Linked DNA regions of Anolis sagrei. The protein of the gene in region 1 purifies or fractionates together with the protein of each later gene. This does not show direct contact. Links are inferred from orthologs where the notes say so. Each region holds a gene or a part of one and is shown on either strand. Other genes may lie near its edges.

Evidence for each region.
Region 2: the proteins of EPC1 (region 1) and MRGBP purify together in Homo sapiens (affinity purification with mass spectrometry; 6 studies listed by BioGRID and IntAct, counting the BioPlex papers as one, with this or other methods). This does not show direct contact. The link is inferred for Anolis sagrei from reciprocal best matches to the Homo sapiens genes EPC1 and MRGBP.
Region 3: the proteins of EPC1 (region 1) and H2AZ1 purify together in Homo sapiens (affinity purification with mass spectrometry; 4 studies listed by BioGRID and IntAct, with this or other methods). This does not show direct contact. The link is inferred for Anolis sagrei from reciprocal best matches to the Homo sapiens genes EPC1 and H2AZ1.

Annotation. Positions count from the first base shown.
Region 1 is NC_090026.1:112,421,108-112,428,699, reverse strand, and holds the start of EPC1 (enhancer of polycomb homolog 1), read left to right. Parts: upstream 1-4,530; 5' UTR 4,531-4,846; coding exon 4,847-4,999; intron 5,000-7,592. UniProt on the Homo sapiens protein: Component of the NuA4 histone acetyltransferase (HAT) complex, a multiprotein complex involved in transcriptional activation of select genes principally by acetylation of nucleosomal histones H4 and H2A.
Region 2 is NC_090024.1:234,248,577-234,255,731, forward strand, and holds the start of MRGBP (MRG/MORF4L-binding protein), read left to right. Parts: upstream 1-4,103; 5' UTR 4,104-4,170; coding exon 4,171-4,414; intron 4,415-7,155.
Region 3 is NC_090025.1:26,582,906-26,590,781, forward strand, and holds the start of H2AZ1 (histone H2A.Z), read right to left. Parts: upstream 3,030-7,876; 5' UTR 2,888-3,029; coding exon 2,885-2,887; intron 2,437-2,884; coding exon 2,359-2,436; intron 1-2,358. UniProt on the Homo sapiens protein: Variant histone H2A which replaces conventional H2A in a subset of nucleosomes. Nucleosomes wrap and compact DNA into chromatin, limiting DNA accessibility to the cellular machineries which require DNA as a template.

The DNA.
Region 1 (7,592 bases):
CTGAAGTGACCCTTGTTGACCAGTGCCTCAATTCAAGGATTTTCTTTACATGGTCTCAGAAATTAGAAAGTGCACACTGCATTGTAGAGATTTATATTACACCTAATTACTAACCATAGAAACTGCAGAGGCAAAGATCGTGAAGGACAGTCCAAGTCTTCACCTCATCTGTCTTCTTACTTGGCTGTAGTTTAAACACTTGCAGGAAGTTACAATAAATCAACATTTTCATCAGACACTACTGTGTCAGAGTGCTGCTAAAATATGATGAAATACATGTACATAACAAACACCTACCATTTTGGAGCGAATCTAATCCAGAAACACTTCTTTGCCTGTGTGTTTTCTGAGTAGAGATTCTTTCTTAAGCAAGGGATATTTTGTCATAACTTCTCAGTATATTCTACCCTAACTGCTGTCTTTTACAGTAAATTTAACACGTTCCACTTCCCTTTTATTAAAAGTAAAGGTTTTCCCTGACATTAAGTCTAGTTGTGTCCGACTCTGGGGGGTGGTGCTCATCTCCATTTCTGAGCTGAAGAGCCAGCGTTGTCCGTAGACACCTCCAAGGTCATGTGGCTAGCATAACTGCATGGATTAGTTACCTTCCTGCGGTACCTATTGATCTACTCACATTTTCATATATTAGAACTGCTAGTTTGGCAAAAGCTGGGGCTAACAGCGGGAACTCACTCCGCTGCCTGGATTCAAACTGCCACCCTTTCAATCAGCTCAGTGGTTTAACCTGCTGTGCCACCAGGCCCTTTTATTATGCTTCTCAAATTAGGTGGGCAACCCCATTTTGGAAGTTGTATGTGGTTATGTGCTTCTCAAAAACTATTAATTATAACTGGTTTAAAATGGAAGATTTTAATTCAAAAGACGTAAGAAATATTAGCTTAGTATTTCATATTAGGTGTAGTTGGGGAGAAAATATCAAGTGGTTGCAACCCAAGGGTCCCATCTACACAGTGTAGGCCAGACATGGGCCAACTTCAGCACTCCAGGTGTTTGAACTCCCAAATCCCACAATTGTGGAAGTTCCTTCCTTGGAAATTTTTAAGAAGAGGCTGGATGACCATCTGTCAGGGATACTTTGATTGTCCTTCCTCTGCATGGCAGGGGATTGGACTAAATGTCCCATGTAGTCTCTTCCAACTCTGTTATTCTATGATTCTAAAGCAGGCCTGGGCCAACCTCGCCCCTCCCTCCAAGTGTTTTGGACTCTTAACTCCCACAATTCCTTAAGCAGCTGAGGGGGAAAAGGAAGGGGTCTGAGGCTGTTAGGAATTGTGGGAGTTGAAGTCCAAAACACCTGGACAGCCGAAGTTGGCTCAAATTACAGGAAAGGAGATTCCACCTGAACATTCTTTTATTTAATTATTTATTTAAAACATTTATATTCTACTTTTCTCACCTTAAAGGGGACTCAAGGCAAACATTCAATGCTGGAACATAAAACAAACTATAAATATACAAAAACACTAAAATAAATTATCTCCACTTTAAAATCAATTGTTTTAAACCATCTCATCTCATATTAGGAAGAACTTCCTGACCGTATGAACTGTTCGGCAGTGGGACTCTGTGCCTCGGAGTGTTGCGGAAGCTCCTTCCTTGGAAACTTTTAAACAGAAGATGAATGGCCATCTGTCAGGGATACTTTGACTGTGCTTCTCTGGCAGGGGATGTCCCATGCAGTCTCTTCCAACTCTTATTATTATTTTTTATTCTACAACCAGTAGCTGAGCATAGTGGCCATATACTAAAATTAAGGGGGGAGGCAGGGTTTGTGCAATACAGCTGCAAGGACAGGGCTGATAGAAAAGTGCAGAAGCCAGATGATATGTTTTGACTAGAAAGCCCAAGTCAATTCATGTAGTCAACTACAACTACAGGGGCAGGGACAATGGTAGAGTGCAGTAGCCAGATATTAAGTTATGGCTAGAAGGGCCAAAATTATCTAGTGAACAGGTTACTCAGAAGCACATTGGAATATACACGTCCCCCCCCCCCCCAGTTTAAGCAGCTAAAGGGGAAAAGGAAGGGACCTGAAGCTGTTAGGAATTGTAGGAGTTGGAGTCCAAAACACCTTGGGGGCCGAAGTTTGCCCAGGCCTGTTTGAGCAATCCTTTGCCGCAGAGCGATATAAGGGAGCATCCTATGGTTCTAGAAAAATAATAGGAATTGTTGAAGTTGGGAGTCCAAAACACCTGGAGGGAAGGCCAAGGTTGGCCCAGGCCTGTTGTAAAGGATGCTCAACTTGGAACAGTCCTTAGGCGCGGAGCGATATAAAGGAGTATCCTATGCTCCTAAAATAACAATATAATAATAATTTTTGGATTTAAAATGGGGGAAAAAAGCAGGATTCTATCTTAGAAGTTTCAAAAGTGAGAAGTGTGTTAACCAGGCCTGGGCCAACTTCGGCCCTTCTTCCAGATTCAGACAGGCTATATACTCAGTGTTAAGGCACTACAACAGGCATGTGTAAACATCGGCCCTCTAGGTGTTTTGGACTCCAACTCTCACAATTCCAAACAGCTTCAGGCCCTTCCCCCCACCCCAGCCTCTTATTTTAGAACAGGCCTGAGCAAACTTGGGACCTCCAGCTGTTTTGGACTTCAGTCCCCACCATTCCTAACAGCCTCGGGCCCCGTTCTTTTCCCCCTCAGTTGCTTATGCGGCTCTAGAAGAATATTATATATTCTATATAATATTATAGCAGGCATGGGCAAACTTGAGCCCGCCAGGTGTTTTGGACTTCAACTCCCAACCATTCCTGACAGCCTCAGGCCTCTTCTTTTGGACTTCAATTCCCACCATTCCTAACAGCTTTGGACTTCAACTCCCACCATTCCTAACAGCCTCAGGCCTCTTCTTTTGGACTTCAACTTCCACCATTCCTAACAGCCTCAGGCCTCTTCTTTTGGACTTCAATTCCCACCATTCCTAACAGCTTTGGACTTCAACTCCCACCATTCCTAACAGCTTTGGACTTCAACTCCCACCATTCCTATCAGCCTCAGGCCCCTTCCTTTTGGACTTCAACTTCCACCATTCCTAACAGCCTCAACCCCATTCTTTTGGACTTCAACTCCAACCATTCCTAACAGCTTTGGACTTCAATTCTCACCATTCCTGACAGCCTCAGGCCCCTTCCTTTTGGACTTCCAACTCCCACCATTCCTAACAGCTTTGGACTTCAACTCCCACCATTCCTAACAGCCTTAGGCCCCTTCTTTTGGACTTCAACTCCCACCATTCCTAACAGCTTTGGACTTCAACTCCCACCATTCCTAACAGCTTTGGACTTCAACTCCCACCATTCCTAACAGCTTTGGACTTCAACTCCCACCATTCCTATCAGCCTCAGGCCCCTTCCTTTTGGACTTCAACTTCCACCATTCCTAACAGCCTCAACCCCATTCTTTTGGACTTCAACTCCAACCATTCCTAACAGCTTTGGACTTCAATTCTCACCATTCCTGACAGCCTCAGGCCCCTTCCTTTTGGACTTCCAACTCCCACCATTCCTAACAGCTTTGGACTTCAACTCCCACCATTCCTAACAGCCTTAGGCCCCTTCTTTTGGACTTCAATTCCCACCATTCCTAACAGCTTTGGACTTCAACACCCACCATTCCCAACAGCCTCAGGCCCCTTCCTTTTCCCAAAGGAGGGGCCTGAGGCTGTTAGAAATGGTGGGAGTTGGAGTCCAAAACACTTGGAGGGCCCAAGTTTACCCAGGCCTGTTCTAAAATAAGAGACGGGGGGGGGGGAGGAAGGAGTATAGCCGGTCTGAATCTGGAAAGAGGGCGGAAGTTGGCTTAAGCGGCTTTGGAAGAATATTTGACAGGGTCTATAGCAGGCATGGGCGAACTTGAGCCCTCCAGGTGTTTTGGACTCCAACTCCCACCATTCCTAACAGCCTCAGGCCCTTTCCTTTCCCCCCTCAGCTGCTTTACCTAGACCTGTTCTAAAATAAGAGGCTTAAGCGGCTGAGAGGGGAAAGGAAAGGGCCTGAGGCTGTTAGGAATGGTGGGAGTTGGAGTCCAAAACACCTGGAGGGCCCAAGTTTACCTAGGCCTGTTCTAAAATAGGAGGCTGAGGGGGAAAGGGGGGGGCCTGAGGTTGTCAGGAATGGTGGGAGTTGGAGTCCAAAACACCTGGAGGGCCCAAGTTTGCCCAGGCCTGCTGTAGTGCCTTAACCCTGAGTATATAGCTGGTCTGAATCTGGAAAGAGGGCCGAAGTTGGCTCAGGCCTGGTGTCCAAACACAAGGTTCCCCCGTCAATTCTATAGAATGGCTTGATGTCACAGAGGACGAAATAACCGTCGGGTTTTTCAAAAATCTTCTGGGCGAGAGGTCAAAAAAAGAGGGGGGGGGGACCCCTTCCAAAGTGTGTTTGTGAGGCGGTGCGAAGCATCGCGCCTGTTTCTTTCCAAGCTCTCTCTCTCTCTCCCTCCCGCCAGCCTGCCGCTCGTGCCCGCGCGGTCTCCTGTTGCGCGCGCCCCCTCCTGTCGGCGCCGTGCGCGCGCCCCTTTGCGCGATGCAGTGTGGGAATGGCTGTGGCGCTGGGGTTGGCTGGAAGAGGCGGCCAGTCGAGGAGGTTTAATGTCCGCCATGTTGGCCGCGGCGCGCTGAGCGGAGCCGGAGCGGCGAGGAGGCGGAGGAGGGCGGCGGCGGCGGAGGAGGAGGCGGCGGAGGAGAGGAGCACTCGGCGTCGCCCGGGCCGGGCTCTCCGCGCGGAGCAGCAGCGCCGCCTCCAGCCCCCCTCCCCCGCCCGCCTCCTCCTCCTCCTCCTCCTCCGCCGCCGCCATCATCATCATCCCTGCCGCCGACTAGCATGAGCAAACTGTCGTTCCGGGCCCGGGCGCTGGACGCGTCTAAGCCGCTGCCCGTCTTCCGCTGCGAGGACTTGCCCGACCTGGCCGAGTATGCCTCCATCAACCGGGCCGTGCCGCAGATGCCCACGGGCATGGAGAAGGAAGAGGAGTCGGTACGTGAGAGAGAAAGGAAAAAAACCCCTCCCGCCGCCATCGCCGCCTCTGCGCAGGCACAAAATGGCCGCCATTCCCCCCCTCCCGCCGCCCTCGCCCTCTCGAGCCCTCTCCCTCTGCCTTGAGGAGGAGGAGGAGGAAGGGAGCGGGGAGACAGCGAGCCAGCCGGGCCCCTCCGCGCGCCCTCGGGGTCGCCCTCCCGGCCTCGCTCGCTCTCGGCCCCCCGAAAGGCACAAAGGGCGTCACGTGACGCGACGGGCGGGCGGCCGCCATTTTGTGGAGGCGCTCGTTGGAAGGGCTGGGCCTGGGAGAGGGAAGGCAGGCAACGCTAGGTGGCGCCTGCGCCTCGCGCTCCCAGCTGGGGAGAAAGGAAGTCCAGGCTGGCCATGTGGTGTTGCTGCTGCTGCTGCGCGCGCCCCGCGTGTTCTCCTCTCTTCCCAGGCTCGCACTCCAGGAGTGGTCCCCTCACTTTTGGGCCTCCAGGTGGTTTGGGACTTCCAACTCCCAGAAATCCCAGCCACCTCAACAGCTTTTATTTCACTCGTATCAAACACATTTCAAAAAATTAGTATATACTAATTTTTGCATAGTATATACTAATGAATATATAAACACTAAACAATTCAAATAAACAAATGCAGCAAAACACTATGAAGATACTAAAAGACTCTCCAGGTGTTTTGGACTTCAACTTTCACTGTTCCTGGCTCTTTGGAATTGTGAGAGTTGAAGTCCAAAACATCTGGAGGGCCAAAGTTTATGAGGTAGACATAAAACATACCTTGTATAGCAGGGTTTCTCAACCTGCGGGTCGGGACCCCTGGAGGGGTCGTGAGGGGGTGTCAGAGGGGTCACCAAAGGCCATCAGAAAACACAGTATTTTCTGTTGGTCATAAGGGTTCTTTATGGGAAGTTTGCCCCAATTCTATTGTTGGTAGGGTTCAGAATGCTCTTTGATTGTAGGTGAACTATAAATCCCAGCAACAACAACTCCCAAATATCAGGGTCTGGTTCCTCCAAACTCCACCAGTGTTCACATTTGGGCATATTGAGTATTTGTGCCAAGTTTGGTTCAGAGCCTTAATTGTTTGAGTCTACAGTTCTCTCTGGATGTAGATGAACTACAACTCCAAAACTCAAGGTCAATGCCCACCAAAAGCTTCCAATATTTTCTGTTGGTCATGGGAGTTCTGTGTGCCAAGTTTGGTTTGATTAGATCATTGATGGAGGTTAGAATGCTCTTTGATTGTAGGTGAACTATAAATCCCAGCAACGACAACTCCCAAATGTCAGGGTCTTTTTACCCCAAACTCCACCAGTGTTCACATTTGGGCACATTGAGTATTTGTGCCAAATTTGGTCCATTGAATTAAAATATGTCCTGCAAATCAGATATTTACATGACGATTAATAACAGTAGCAAAATTACAGTTAGGAAGTAGTAAAAAAAATTATGGTTTGGGGTCACCACAACATGAGGAACTCCATTAAGGGGTCGTGGCATTAGGAAGGTTGAGAAACCCTGTTGTATAGTATATACTAATTAATATATAAACACTAAACAATTCAAATGAACAAATGCAGCAAAACACTAAAACACCCTCCAGGTGTTTTGGACGTCAACTCTCACAGTTCCTGGCTCTTTGGAATTGTGAGAGTTGAAGTCCAAACTATCTGGAGGGCCGAAGTTTATGACATAAAACATACCTACTTATTATTATTATTTATTGTTCTTATACCCCGCTACCATCTCCCGCAGGACTCGGTGCGGCTTACAAGAGGCCTAGCCCCACAACATCACAAAACAACCACAACAAAACAATGAAGATTTGGAGTGTCTACTGGGGTGCAGGAACTAATAATAATAGGGTTGCTGTGAGTTTTCCGAGCTGTATGGCCATGTTCCAGAAGCATTCTCGCCTGACGTTTCACCCACATCTATGACAGCTATCCTCAAAGGTTGTGAGGTATATTGGAAACTAGACAAGGTACTTCACAACCTCTGAGGCTGCCTGCCATAGATGTGGGCGAAATATAAGGAGAGAATGCTTCTGAACATGGCCAAACAGCTCGGAAAACTCACAGCAACCCAGTGATTCTGGCCATGAAAGTTTGTGTTTATAGACTCTCTGGGTCGGCTTGCTAGAATAGACAGGCCTACTCTGAGTTGATGGTTTTGACCTTTAAACCCTACATGGTTTGGATCCAGGTTACCCGCCCACACACTTTGGTCTTCTGGGGGGTGTCTTAAGACTTGTGTCTTAAATTCTGACAGCTGATCCAGGTGTCAGAGCTCTATGGGCAGGTCGTTCCACAGCCTTGTGGCGTTCGATGAAAAGGTTGTCTGGGTGGTGGCTGCCACTCCACTCGGGTTCTGGCTGGTTGGAGCAGACACCCCCCAGAAGACCAAAGTGTGTGGGTGGGTAACCTGGACCCAAACTATGTAAGGTTTTAAAGGTCAAAACCATCAACTTGTTCTTTGCCCAGAAACTAATTGGAGTGACTTTAGGATAGGTGTAATATGCTCACTCCTAGATCTTCCTGTAACCAAACTAAGGACTAATTTGGGACAGTTTTCCAAGGAGCTCGCCT
Region 2 (7,155 bases), on another chromosome or scaffold:
TTGAGTCACCACAGGGAGAAATGCGGGGTATAAATAAAGAGAAGAAGAAGAAGAAAGGAAGAAAAAGAAAGGAAGAAGAAGAAAGGAGGAAGAAGAAAGGAGGAAGGAGGAGGAAGAAGGAGGAGGAGGAAGGAGGAGGAGGAAGGAGAAGGAGGAAGAAGGTGGAGGAGGAAGGTGGAGGAGGAAGGAGGAGGAGGAAGGAGGAAGAAGAAGGGAGAGTAAGGAAGAGGAAGAGTAAGGAAGGAGGGAGGAAGGAAGAGGAAGAGTAAGGAAGAGGAAGAGGAAGGAAGAGGAAGAGTAAGGAGGAGGAAGAGGAAGAGGGAGGAAGAGGAAGGAAAAGGAAGAGGAAGGAAGAAGGAAGAGGAAGAAGAAGGAAGAGAAAGAAGAAGACGAAGAAGAAACTGCACAGTTCCAAAGGTAAAGCACTGAGATTTCTCATCTTAAGTATTTCCTTACTGTTTTCAAGTTGTTTTTTTTTAATCATTTTTGCAAAAGTTCCAGCCTTTTACTAGTCCTTTTTGCAAAAGATGCAGCACATGTATGTCCCTTTAGGTCTAGGCAAGCTTTGCCAATCAAAAGTATGATTCTGAATATGATTTTCCTGCTTCTTGGCAGGGGGCTGGACTGGACAGCTCACGAGATCTCTTCCAATTCTATGATTCTATAATTCTTTGATTCTTACTGCACCTCCTACTGGCAGAATACACAAATCTGGGCTTGTAATTACAAAATGTATGTTATTGTTGTTATTGTTAATCATTTCCTTTCTGTTTGCAAGTCTGTCTTGCAAAACATCCACCTCTTGCATCCATGGTACTTTGGGCTTAGTTTGCCAATCAAAAGTACATCTTTCCCTTACAGAATACACAACTTCTATTGTGTATTCTGCTCCTTACAGAATACACAACTTGTATTGCGTATTTGTAGTTGGTATAAACTTTAGTGTGTGTCTTATATTTGACGGCATCTTAGAACTGGAAAAATGTGGTAATGTGAAAAACTTGGTATAGCAAGTTGTTGAAGTCTCATAGTTGTGCTATTCTTCCAGAAAAATACATTTAAAAGGGGGACAAAGAGAAGGATTGAGAGGAGAAAAATTCCAGCAACTGTGGCAAGTGTTGTTGTTGTTCTCCTTCTTCCTCTTCTTCTTGTATTTGTCTGTAAAAGAAAACTCAAAGGTTTCTTCAAGTGCTTGCACATAGATTTGTGCCATAAGATCAGTTTGTTATCCTGGTCTTCCCCAGTTCAAAGCAAAATGGGTTTGCAACACAGAATCCATTTTTAGATCTTTGTTCAGAGAGGTCCTAAGTTTAATGCTCTGTGGTTTTTCCATTGGTGATGTTTAGCTGAACTTACTCGTGAACCCATTAACTTGCTTTAAGTGTTTGAAAGAACCTGTCATCATTATAGGTACACTGCAAGGTAAGTGCCAGTACTCTTCATTGCGGCTGGGTGTCTGAATGTGTCAACAACTTTCTTTCCCTCTTTGGTTCCTTAAAAAGGTCATTTGTGAAGTACGAGAAACTTCATCATTTGGAATTTCTGCTGGTGTTGTTGAATACCGCCTCAAAGTGTATCTATGATACCAGAGTGATTTGTGCTGCTTAATGTCAGCCGGCAGATTAAAAATTCAATTTAATAACAAACCACGGTAGTCTCATCTCCCAAGCAACACAGACTTTGCCTCATCTTTGTTGAAGCAAGCAACAAAGGACTTTATTTCTGTGTAAGCCTTGTAAAAAGAAACAAAGGACTTTATTTGACATGTCTTAATCTGACCCTAAGCTATGCCACTTTTACGAGACTCAACGGGTATCTTCTTCTACCAATTATGCAAAGTTTTAATTGGGAGTGTGTTTAGAAGCCCTTATAGAACGTAGGGGTAAACCCAGGCCCTTTGGGCTCTTTTCTCAGGCCCTCCTGTTTCTCACCATCCTATCCTTCCTTTCTTCTCTCTTTCCTTCCTCCTTCCCTCCCTCTTTCCCCTTCCCTTCCACCTTTTCATCCTTTCTTCCTCTTTTCTTCCTCCTTCCTTCTTTCTTTCTCAATCTCTCCTTCCCTCCCTTCCTTTTGTCCTTCCTTCCTACCTTCTCTCCCTTTTTCCTTCCTTCGCTCCCTTTTGTGTTTTCTTCCTTTTCTCTTTCCTTCCTCCTTCCCTTCCTTTCTTCCTTCCCTCCCATTCTCCTTCCCTTTCCATCCTTTCCATCCTTTCGTCCTTCCCTCCCTCCCTTTTTCTTTACATCCTTCCCTCCCACCCTTTCGTCCTTCCTTCCTTCCGTTTTGTCATTCCTTCCCTCTCTTTTTCCTTCCTCCTTCCCTTCCTTCCATCCTTTTATCCTTCCTTCCCTTTTGTCTTTCCTTCCTTTCCTCTTTACTCTCTCCTTCCCTCTCTTCCTCTTTCTCCTTCCATCCTTCCCTTCCGCCCTTTCATCTTTTCTTCCTTCTCTCTTTCCTTCCTCTTTCCCTTTCTTTCTTCCATCACCGGGCAGCCAGTCCTCCTAGCAGGGAATGATAGCATATGGTCCCCAAGTTAGAAAGTTTGTCCATGCCTGCCTTATAGTTCGATGCTCCAAACTACAGCTTAGTTTGTGTCTAAATCTGTAAACAAATTTATTGTGTGTGGTTTATAGCTATTTCACAGCTGGAGGTCAACTGTGACAAGCAGTGCTGCAGAATTTGAAGAGGCACGAATGGAGGGCAAAAGAGAGAAACGTGACAAGAGGAAGGTGTGTCAAGCCAACCCCGACTGGGGCCGCCTTCCACTTATGAACCAATGCCCTCACTGCCGCCTTCCACTTATGAACCAATGCCCTCACTGCAGGAGATATATTTATTTATCGTGTCATCCACAACCAGAACATTGTATTACATTTCTAACAGAACAAAACAAACAAACAGATAAAAAAACAACACAAATTTTGCAAACTTGGTAGCTGATTAAATGTCCTTTGACCAGTATCTGGCCACTTGGAGTGCCTCTGGTGTTGCCGCAAGAAGGTCCTCCATCGTGCATGTGGCAGGGCTCAGGTTGCATTGCAGCAGGTGGTCTGTGGTTTGCTCTTCTCTGCACTCGCATGTCGTGGATTCCACTTTGTACCCCCTTTTCTTAAGTTTGGCTCTGCATCTCGTGGTGCCAGAGCGCAGTCTGTTCAGCGCCTTCCAAGTCGCCCAGCCTTCTGTGTGCCCAGAGGGGAGTCTCTCATCTGGTATCACCCACGGATTGAGGTGCTGGGTTTGAGCCTGCCACTTTTGGACTCTCGCTTGCTGGGGTGTTCCAGCGAGTGTCTCTGTAGATCTAAGAAAACTATGTCTTGATTTAAGTCGTTGACGTGCTGGCTGATACTCAAACAGGGGATGAGCTGGAGATGTCTCTGCCTTGGTCCTTTCACTATTGGCTGCTACTTCCCGGCAGATGTCAGGTGGTGCAATACCGATTAAGCAGTGTAATTTCTCTAGTGGTGTGGGGCGCACACACCCTGTGATAATGCGGCATGTCTCATTAAGAGCCACATCTACTGTTTTAGTGTGGTGAGATGTGTTCCACACTGGGCATGCAGACTCAGCAGCAGAGTAGCATAGCGCAAGGGCAGATGTCTTCACTATGTCTGGTTGTGATCCCCAGGTTGTGCCAGTCAGCTTTCGTATGATGTTGTTTCTACCGCCCACTTTTTGTTTGATGTTCAGGCAGTGCTTCTTGTAGGTCAGAGCACGGTCCAAAGTGACTCCCAGGTATTTGGGTGCGCTGCAATGCTCCAGTGGGATTCCTTCCCTGGTAATCCTCAGAGCTCGGGATGCTTGTCTGTTCTTAAGGTGAAAGGCACATGTCTGTGTTTTAGATGGATTAGGGATCAGTTGGTTTTCCCTGTAGTAGGCAGTAGGAGCACCTAGAGCTTCGGAGAGCTTCTATTGTACCATCTCAAAGCTCCCTGCTTGAGTGGTAATGGCACGATCATCAGCATAGATGAAACTCTATGTCCCTTCTGGCAGTGGCTGGTCATTTGTGTAAATGTTGAACATGGATTATTATTGTGATGACTCAGTGATGGGAATCTGCGTTCCTTCTGAAGTGTAATACACGACTCGGCCTCGAGGGGGCGCTGTTCGCTAAGGGCGCTGCTGTGCGGCCTAGACGCGAGCGCGCATCCTCGGCCTGTGTTAGCGGAGCAGGCCATGGGCGAAGCCGAGAGCTCGGCCGGGACTGCGGCGGAGGGGAAGCCGCCTTGCCCCGCCGTGGGGACTGCGACGGAGGAGGAAGCCGCGGCGTCCACCACGGCCTTGACGACCTCCTCCTCGTCCTCTTCCATGGCGACTGCGCTCCCCCCGCCTCTGCCGCCTCTCCCCGCGCCGCCCGTGGTCTGGAGCCCCGAGGTGGAGGTCTGCCTCTTCCACGCCATGCTGGGACACAAGCCCGTCGGTGAGAAACAGAGCGAGAAAACAGAGCGAGAAAGGACCAGGCCGCAGATGAAGCCTCGGGCTCGAGTAGCTCCACTGCCCGAGGAGGAGGCGGGGCCGGCTGGGGAGAGGGTGGGAGGGAACTCCGTCTGTGCCTGCCTCTTTCTCTTCGGACTTCAACTCCCAGAAGCCTCTGCCGCTTTGGCCAATCAGCAGGCATTCTGGGAACTGAAGTCCCAAACCCCTGGAAGGCCCATTCGAATGAATGAATACAGTTTGACCCTGTCTTGGGATTTGTACTTTGGCAGAGAGGGGTGAAGGCCTGGTGGAACTACAACTCCCATGATTCCATAGCATTCAGCCATGACAAAATGCATTCAATCATGGGCCTATTGTAATGTTTACACATAACTTACACTCCCCCTGAAGCCACAGGTCCGCAGTTTGGGGGTCCTCTTGGATTCAACGCTCACACTTGAGGCTCAGGCGTCGGCGGTGTCTGGGAGGGCTTTCGCACAACTGAGACTCGTGCGCCAACTGCGACCGTACCTCGCGAAGACGGATCTGGCCGGAGTGGTCCATGCCTTGGTCACCTCCAGATTGGACTACTGCAATGCGCTCTACGTAGGGCTGCCCTTGAAGACTGGTCCAACGAGCAGCAGCCAGGATGTTAACTGGGGCTCCTTACAGAGAGAGGTCAACCCTCCTGTTCAAGGAGCTCCACTGGCTGCCATTTATTTTCCGAGCCCAATTCAAGGTGCAGTTGCTTACCTACAAAGCCCTGAACGGTTTGGGACCAGCCTACCTGCGTGACCGCATCTCCATCTACGAACCCACACGTTCACTTCGGTCATCTGGAGAGGCCCTGCTCGTGATCCCGCCTGCGTCGCAAGCGCGCTTGGTGGGGACACGAGACAGGGCCTTTTCCGTGGTGGCCCCCCGACTCTGGAACACCCTCCCCAAAGACCTTAGACAGGCCCCTACATTGGCTGCCTTCAGAAAGAACTTGAAGACCTGGCTTTTCCGATGCGCCTTCCCAGATTAGGAAATCTCCACTACCAAGTCCCATAAGCACTTTATCAGAACCAATGATTGCTGCACACCGCACATCGCACTTGCCCTAGAAGCCCTATATACACTTTTGATCTTGTACCCATTACTCTGGCCCGGCCCAGTTTTATTGTGTTTAGTGTATTGTGCCTGTTGTTTATTTTGCTTTATTCTGTTTTTAATTGTTTGATTTGCTTAGATTGTATTGTTGTGTTGTGTGTTGAGGCCTCGGCCTGTGTAAGCCGCATCGAATCCTTTGGGAGATGCTAGCGGGGTACAAATAAAGTTTAATAATAATAATAATAACTATTATTATTATAACAGGCCTAGGCAAATTGGGACCTCCAGGTGTTTTGGACTTCAACTCCCACAATTCCTAACAGCCTCAGGCCCTTTCCTTTCCCCCCCTCAGCCACTTAAGCAAGTAATTAAAAAAAACCAAAGACAATAAATTACACAACATTATCAATAAAACAACACATAATTAAAAACAGTGGGAAGGCCAAATGTAGAGTTAAAATTGGAAATAATGCTGGGACATGAACGCAAGGTGATACTGGTGTTTGTGGAAGGGCATATGAGCAGACTTAAAGAAATGTAAAGTGTATTGTCGAAGGCTTTCATGGCTGGAATCACTAGGTTCTTGTGGGTTTTTTCGGGCTATAGGGCCATGTTCTAGAAGCATTTCTCCTGATGTTTCGCCTGCATCTATGGCAAGCATCCTCAGAGGTAGTGAGGTCTGTTGGAATTAGGACAATTAGGACAATATATCTGTGGAATGGCTGGGGTGGGGCAAAGAGCTCTTCCCTGCTGGAGCTAGGTGTGAATGTTTCAACTGACCAACTTCATTAGCATTTGAAGGCCTGGCTGAGCCTGGGAAAATCTTTTGTTGAGAGGTGTTAAGATGTGCCTGGTTGTTTCCTCTCTGCTGTTTTGCTGTTGTAATTTTAGAGTTTTTTAAATACTGGTAGCCAGATTTTGTTCATTTTCATGGTCTCTTCCTTTCTGCTGAAATTGTCCACATGCTTGTGGATTTCAGTGGCTTCTCTGTGTAGTCTGAGATGGTGGTTGTTGGTGTGGTCCAGCATTTCTGTGTTCTCAAATAATATGCTGTGTCCAGGCTGGTTCATCAGGTGCTCTGCTATGGCTGACTTCTCTGGTTGAAGTAAAGTGGTTAAATGTAAAGCGCTTTGGAGGACAAAGTGCTATGGGATCATCCCTATATCACAGAATGTCAAGGCAGAAAATCCAAAAATACCTGCTTTGGACTGGGTTAACTGAGTCCACACTGCCATATATTCCATTTCAAAGCAGATAATGTGGGATTTTATTCAACTGTCTGGAAGGGGCTTAAGGCCCCTTCTACACTGCCATATAAAATCCAGATTATCTGCTTTGATTATATGGCAGTGTCGATTTACATAATCCAGTTCAAAGCAGATAATAAGACTGGAATAAGACTCTGTCCAGTTCTGTGCAAAGCACTCCAAGAAGAATATGGACAAGCTGGAATGTGTCCAGAGAAGGACAGCCTTGATGGCAAAAAAGTCTGGAAGCCAAGCCTTGTGAGGAAAGGCTTGGAGTGCTTAGCTTGGAGAAAAGAAGTCTGGGAGAAAGGAACATGATATCCCTGTTTAAATATTTGAAAGGATGTCTCATTGATGAGGAGGCAAGCTTGTTTTCTGCGGTTCTGAAGACTAGGACATAGAGCAG
Region 3 (7,876 bases), on another chromosome or scaffold:
CCTCCAGGTGTTTTGGAAGGCAACTCCCACAGTTCCTAACAGTCTTCCGGCTGTTAGGAATTCTATTTATTTACAACATTTATAAGCAGCCTTTTTACCCTGAAGGGGACTTAAAGAGGCTTACAAGTTATATGTACATACAATACATATTATTAGAACAGCACATTATTATTATATGACTGTATTATACTATACCAATATACTGTAATATTATTAGTAATGTTACATGTAATATGAAATATACAATTATATTGTATTACTAGTATTATATTGCATTACATATTATCAATATTATACATGTATATAATATATTATTAGCACAGTACATTAGTATTACATATTACTACTAGCTATCCCCTGCCACTCGTTGCTATGGCCAGTTTGTGTATGTGTTTTGTGTGTGTATATATGTGGTTATGTACATGAATTGTAATTTTTTTTTTGCTTTTTTGAGTCTTTTCTGCTGGGTTTTTCAGTGTTTTTATGAGTGATGGTCACTCATTGGTCTGATAGATGTATTGTGTCCAAATTTGGTGTCAATTCGTCCAGTGGTTTTTGAGCTATGTTACTCCCACAAACGAACATTACATTTTTATTTACATATTGTACTATACCACTATACTGTAATATAAAATATACAATTACTATATTGTTAGAATCATATTGTATTACATTATCAATATTATATGTGTATAATATTGATAATATAATCAATATTATATTGATTATAATGGCGGGGACGAGAGTCAGGGCCTTTTCAGTGGTGGCCCCTCAGCTGTGGAATGCCCTTCCTACAGATATCAGATTGGCCCCCTCCTTATTGGCATTTCGGAGGAAAGTGAAGACCCGGTTGTTCGAACAGGCATTCGATTAGGCAGTGTAATTGATTATAGGAACACGGAGTAACGGATGATGATATTGGATTCTGATTCTATTGATGAGACGTGAATGATTTCCATCTTGTCTTTACTAATAATATAATATAGTATATTATATATACATATATTTATAATATTATAATGTAATACAATATAATGGTACAGTGCAATATACTAATATTATACTGATATTGTACTACGCTAATAATATAATATATTGTATGAAAATATATATTGTATTGTCGAAGGCTTTCATGGCTGGAATCACTAGGTTCTTGTGGGTTTTTTCGGGCTATAGGGCCATGTTCTAGAGGCATTTCTCCTGACGTTTCGCCTGCATTTATGGCAAGCACCCTCACCACCTCTGAGGATGCTTGCCATAGATGCAGGCGAAACGTCAGGAGAAATGCCTCTAGAACATGGCCCTATAGCCCGAAAAAAACCAGAAGAACCTAAAATATATATTGTAAGCCGCTCTGAGTCCCCTTAGGGGTCAGAAGGGCGGCATATAAATGCCGTAAATAAATAAATAAATATTGATGTTTGTTGTTATGCTATTTGTTTTTAAATGCTCCAATGGTTTTGTAATGTGTGTATTGAAATTGCTGTTGTTAACCGTTTTGAGTTGCCTAAGAGTTGAGAAAAGCAGTATATAAATGAAGTAAATAAATAAATAAAAATACAATATATTGTGGGAGTTGAAGTTCAAAACACCTGGAGGAAGGACCGAAGTTTGCCCGTGCCTTTTCCATTGGGGCTGCATCTTAATGCATGGAAAGGGGGTTGGGACTGGACGTGGTCTCTCCCAACTCAGTTCCGAGCACAACTCAAGGTGCTGGTTTTAACCTACAAAAACCTGTACGGTTCCGGTCCAGTGTATCTGTCCGAACGTATCTCCCTCTACGTCCCACCCGGAGTCTGAGATCATCTGGGGGGGGCCCTGCTCTCGACCCCACCACTGTCACAAGTGAGGCTGGTGGGGACGAGGAGCAGGGCTTTCTCAGTGGTGGCCCCTCACCTGTGGAATTCACTCCCGGGGGAAATCAGGGCATCACCATCCCTCCTCGCCTCCAGGAGGGTGAAGATGTGGTTATGGGACCAGGCCTTTGGGCACTCTGGCAATTAAATCAGACAACCAGGCGAGTATGTCCAACAGGATTGATGAAGTGGAATGTAAAACTAGATCTATGAGCTAGCGAACGCTGACCATGTAAGAGGCGAAACTGGGTTTGTATTGGTTTTATTGATTTTATGGTTATAATGCATGAATTGTTGTAATTTTGTGTATGATTGTTTTATGATGCAGGCATCGAATTGTGCCTTTGCCTTTGTAAGCCGCCCTGAGTCCCCCTCGGGGTGAGAAGGGCGGGGTAAAAGAACCCCAAATAAATAAATAAACTCTTTGATTCTATCAACTTTTTCCTTCCTAGAAGGACGCAAGACAAGGCCGAACGCTTTGCAACACCCCCCAAGTGCCCACCTGCAAGCCAGCTCTCTGTGAACGGGACACCGTCTTGGTTTTGGTCTTCCCAGAGTCTTTCCCAGCTTTGCCACCGGCCTAGAAGAGCACAGAGAAAGAAGCAGAAGAGGCAAGGCAAGTCAACACGTGGCCTCCTCCTCCTTAGCAACCACCCCCGCCCCGCCGCGGGCTGGCTCCCACGTGACGCAAGGGCTTGGGGCGGAGAGGGCGCGCGAGAGGTAGGCAGGCCCGCGCGTGCGCAGTCTCCTCTTCACAGCATTCCCTCCCCCCCATTCTATAAGGCGTCGGAGCCGAGGCGCATGCGCGGTAGGTCCTCCACGAGCCTTACTCCCGGGCGCATGCGCGTCACTCTTCTCCCACCGCGCCCCTCACTGTCCTCTAGCCTCTCCCTCTTTCTTTCCCCATCCGGGTATTCCTTATGCCAGGCAGCCGACAGCACGAGACTAGGGCGCATCACGCGCTCCCTTCACAATTTTTTCCCCTTTCTTTCCCCTAATCTGCCCTGATCCGCTTCACCCTCGCTTACCATTTCGAATGAGGCCTTGGAATGAGACACACGAAAGCAGAACTGAGCGCAGACCTCCCTGACGATGCGAAGACGGCGGCGCCAGTTCAAAACTGCGCCCGCTCCCGCCTTCCCCGAGCCCTTTATAGGCGGCTCTAACGTCCCGTCATCCGGGGCCTCGCGTCGTCAAACCAGCCAATCGGCACAATGAGGCGGCTCCCCCTGCGCCCCGGGAGGACCAATAGGAAGCCGAGCAGGAGGGAGGGGGAGGGGCTTGCGTTCGGAGCGTCTCGCGCCGAACTGTCCCGTATAGGCCCCGCCCACCTGAGCCCCCAGAGGCGTTTCTCTCTGTTCTTTCCTCTCTCTGCTCTCCTTCCCCGCCTGGAACGTTTCTCTCTCCCATCACCACTCAATAAAGAGACATCCCCACTCTCCTCTTTGCAGCTGGTTCCTTTTTCTCAATTAAAAAATATATAAATTTCCCCACTTTCCTGTGAAGAGAAACTCTTCTGAGCGTTTTAGTCCTTGGGGACTTCAACTCCCAGAAGCCCCTGCCAGCGTGGACCACTCTCAGGAATTCTGGGAGTTGAAGTCCAAAATACTTAAAAGGGCTGTAGGTTCCACTAAAACTGGATTGTAGGGAAAATTATAAAGCAGGCATGAGCAAACTTGGGCCCACCACTTCTTTTGGACTTCAACTCCCACCATTCCTAACAGCCTCAGGCCCTTTCCTTTTCTCCGTCAGCTCTCCAGGTGTTTTGGACTTCAACTCCCACAATTCCTAACAGTCTCAGGCCCTTCCCTTTTCTCCTTCAGCGCTCCAGGTCTTTTGGACTTCAACTCCCACAATTCATAACAGCCTCAGGCACTTTCCTTTTCTCCTTCAGCCCTCCAGGTGTTTTGGACTTCAACTCCCACAATTCCTAACAGCCTCAGGCACTTTCCTTTCCTCCTTCAGCCCTCCAGGTCTTCTGGACTTGAACTCCCACAATTCCTAACAGCCCCAGGCCCTTTCCTTTTCTCCTTCAGCTCTCCAGGTGTTTTGGACTTTAACTCTCACAATTCCTAACAGACTCAGGAACTTTTCTTTTCTCCTTCAGCCCTCCAGGTGTTTTGGACTTCAACTCCCACAATTCCTAACAGCCTCAAGCCCTTTCCTTTTCTCCTTCAGCTCTCCAGGTCTTCTGGACTTCAACTCCCACAATTCCTAACATCCCCAGGCCCTTTCAATTTCTCCCTCAGCCCTCCAGGTCTTCTGGACTTCAACTCCCACAATTCCTAACAGCCTCAGGCACTTTTCTCCTTCAGCCCTCCAGGTGTTTTGGACTTCGACTCCCACAATTCCTAACAGCCTCAGGCACTTTCCATTTCTTCCTCAGCCCTTCAGGTCTTTTGGACTGCAGCTCGCACCATTTCTAACAGCCTCAGGCCCCTTCCTCGCGCCGAACTGGAAAGGAAGGGGCCTGAGGCTGTTAGAAATGGTGGGAGTTGAAGTCCAAAACACCAGGAGGGCCCAAGTTTGCCAATGTCTGTTATAGAGGAATACTAACTGCTGTGCATTGCATCTACCATGTGTACCTTCAAGTGGTTCTCGACTAATGGTAACCGTTGTTGTCACAGGGTTTTCTTGGCAAGATTGGTTAGGATTGTTGTTGTTGTTGTTGTTGTTGTTGTTGTTGTTGTTGTTGTGTGCTTTCAAGTCATTTCAGACTTAGGTTGACCCTGAGCGAGGACCAGGTAAATGACCTCGGAGGGCCGTATTTGGCCCTCGGGCCTTAGTTTGAGGACCCCTGTCATAGAGTCTCAACCAATTCAACCTAGTTTGTGACAGCCACAAAAATGAAGTTTCTGGAGTAGAACAGCTCCAGAATATCGAGCTTATGGATATAACTTTGAAAATGTATTTACAGTCTGCTTTTTTATTGTACTTTTGTGATTGCTTAGTCTGCTAATTTTGGAATTACTTCTGGATTATTTTTGAAACTATCTTTTCTATTATATACCTTTTTCTTAATAAACTTATTACTTATTGTTGAACTGTGGTGTTTGGGTATTTATTTATTGTGCCAGAAGTGAATTGAGAATGCAGTTATAATTCATATAAAAACCATAAAGTTAAAAGCTTGGCATTCTACTACATTTCTTTTAACCAGAAGCTGGCCACTTGCAGTACCTCTGGTGTGGCTGTAAGAAGATCCACCATTGTGCATGTGGCAGGGCTCAGGTTGCATTGTAGTAAGTGGTCTGCGGTTTGCTCTTGTCCGCACTCGCATGTCGTGGGCGGCACTTTATGGCCCCATTCCTTAAGGTTAGCTCCGCATCTCGTGGTGCCAGAGCGCAGTCTGTTCAGCGCCTTCCAAGTCACGCAGCCTTCTGTGTGCCCTGAGGGAGTTTCTCATCTGGTATCAGCCAGTTTCAGGTTTTAACCTGCCACTTTTGGATTCTTGCTTGCTGAGGTGTTCCTGCAAGTATCTCTGTAGATCTTAGGAAGCTGCTTCTTGATTTAAAGTGTTGGCTTGCTGGCTGATACCAGAACAGAGAATGGTCCGGAGATGTCAATGTCAAAGCAGATAATTCACTATCTGCTTTGAACTGGATTATATGAGTCTATATTCCAAATAATCCAGTTCAAAGCATATAACCTGGATTTTATATGGCAGTGTAGAAGAGTCCACAGCATCCTCATATGTTCTATTCTTAGGCACTTCACATGATTCAACTGGTTTTCTGTTTATCCCAGAAAAGCTGGGATCAGATCCTGGACTTTAAAGTCTGTATGGAAGGGCCCTCAGCCTCCAATATGCTATATGACCCCTTTGCATTCATATACATATATTGATAGTTCCAGTTTCAGAGATGAGCAAATACCTCACCTACAAAGTTGTTTTTTTTAACAACCCAAACTGCCCGGTAACAGTGTGGGGTATTATGAATTCCTCATCCACAAATCTCCTTTCTGTACTTTACTTACTTAGGCAATCCCTCGTTGTCCGAGTAGGATAGTCTTCCAAGATAAGTGGCGGTGGGTCTGTAGGTGACTATAGAGCCCTCTTCTTTATCTGCATCTTCTCCCACAGTGAGGGCATTGGTTTCCAGGTGGAAGGTGGTCCCATTCTGGGTTGGCTTGATGTGCCTCCCTCTTGACACGTTTCTCTCTTTCGCCCTCCATTCGTGCCTCTTCAAATTCTACAGCACTGCTGGTCACAGCTGACCTCCAGCTGGAGCGCTCAAGGGCCAGGGCTTCCCAGTTCTCAGTCTATGCCAGAGTGTTTAAGGTTGGCTTTGAACCCATCTTTAAATCTTTTTTCCTGTCCACCATCATTCCAATTTCTGTTCTTGAGTTTGGAGTAGAGCAACTGCTTTGGGACACAGTGGTTGGGCATCCAGACAACGTGGCCAGTCCAGCGGAGTTGATGGCGGAGGACCATAACTTCAATGCTGGTGGTCTTTGCTTCTTCCAGCACGCTGATATTTGTCCGCTTGTCTTCCCAAGAGATTTGCAGGATTTTCTGGAGGCAGCACTGATGGAATCATTCCAGGAGATGCATGTGATGTCTGTAGACAGTCCACAACTTGCAGGCATATAGCAGGGTTGGGAGGACAATAGCTTTATAAATAAGCACCTTGAAATCCCTACGGATGTCCCAGTCCTCAAACACTCTCTGCTTCATTCAGAAAAAAGCTGCACTGGCAGAGCTAAGGCAGTGTTGTATTTCAGTGTCAATGTTGACTTTTGTGGAGAGGTGGCTGCCAAGGTAGCGGAAATGGTCAACATTTTCTAATGTTACACCATTAAGCTGTGTTTCTAGCATTGGAGAGGGATTGCCTAGTGACTGCTGGAAGAGCACTTTGGTTTTCTCGATGTTCAATGACGGGCCGAACTTCCCATATGCTTCTGCAAAGGTGTTTAGAGTGGCTTGTAGGTCTTATTCTGAATGCACACAGACAACTTTGTCATCAGCATATTGGAGTTCTATAACATGTTGTTGTAACCTTGGTTTTGGCTTTCAGTCTGCTGAGGTTAAATAGTTTGCCATCTGTCTGATATATGATTTCCACTCCGGTGGGAAGCTTTCCATCAACAAGATGAAGTATCATAGCGATGAAGATGGAAAATAGGGTTGGGGCAATAACACATCCCTGTTTGACACCTGATTCCACCTTAAATGGGTCACTTTGGGAGCCATTGCTGTCCAAGACTGTTGCCATCATGTCATCATGGAGGAGCCGCAAGGTGTTCACAAATTTGTTAGGGCATCTGATTTTTTGGAGGATGGTCCAGAGAGCGCTGTGATTCACTGTGTCGAATTACTTTGCAAGGTCGATGAATGCCATGTACAGAGGTTGATTTTGTTCCCTGCATTTTTCTTGGAGTTGTCGTGCAGTGAAGATCATGTCCACTGTTCCTCTGGAGGGGCGGAAGCCGTTCTGGGATTCTGGGAGGGTGTCTTCTGAGAGGGGTAGAAGGCGGTTCTTGCAAGGATTTTCCCAGCGGAGGTTAGAAGGGAGATACCTTGATAGTTTCCGCAGTCTGTTCTCCCCCCCCCCCCCTTTTTTTTTTTTTTTTTTTTAGAAAAGGTGATGATGGTTGCATCCTTGAAATCTGCTGGGATTTTCTTGGTCACCCACACTTTTTCAATGAGCTGGTGGAGTTGTTGTGTCAGCTCAGGTCCACCCTCTTTAAAGATTTCAGCAAAGATCCCATCAGGTCCGCTGGCTTTGTTATTTTTTTTTTTGTTGGCTGATGGCATTGCTGACTTCTTCCAGACTAGGCAGTGCTGCAAGCTCATCCCTGGTTTGTTGTTGCAGGACTTGTGAGAGAACCTCTTCGGCCACATTGGAGCTGCGATTCAGGAGGCTTTGGTAGTGTTCTTTCCAACGTAGTGCAATTGGTTTTTTTTTCCTTCAGAAGTTTGGTTCCTTCTGATGAGCGTAGAGGCTGTATGCTATGGTTTCTTGGTCCATAGATTACCTTTGTGGCTTTGAAATATCCCTGAGCATCATGAGTATCTG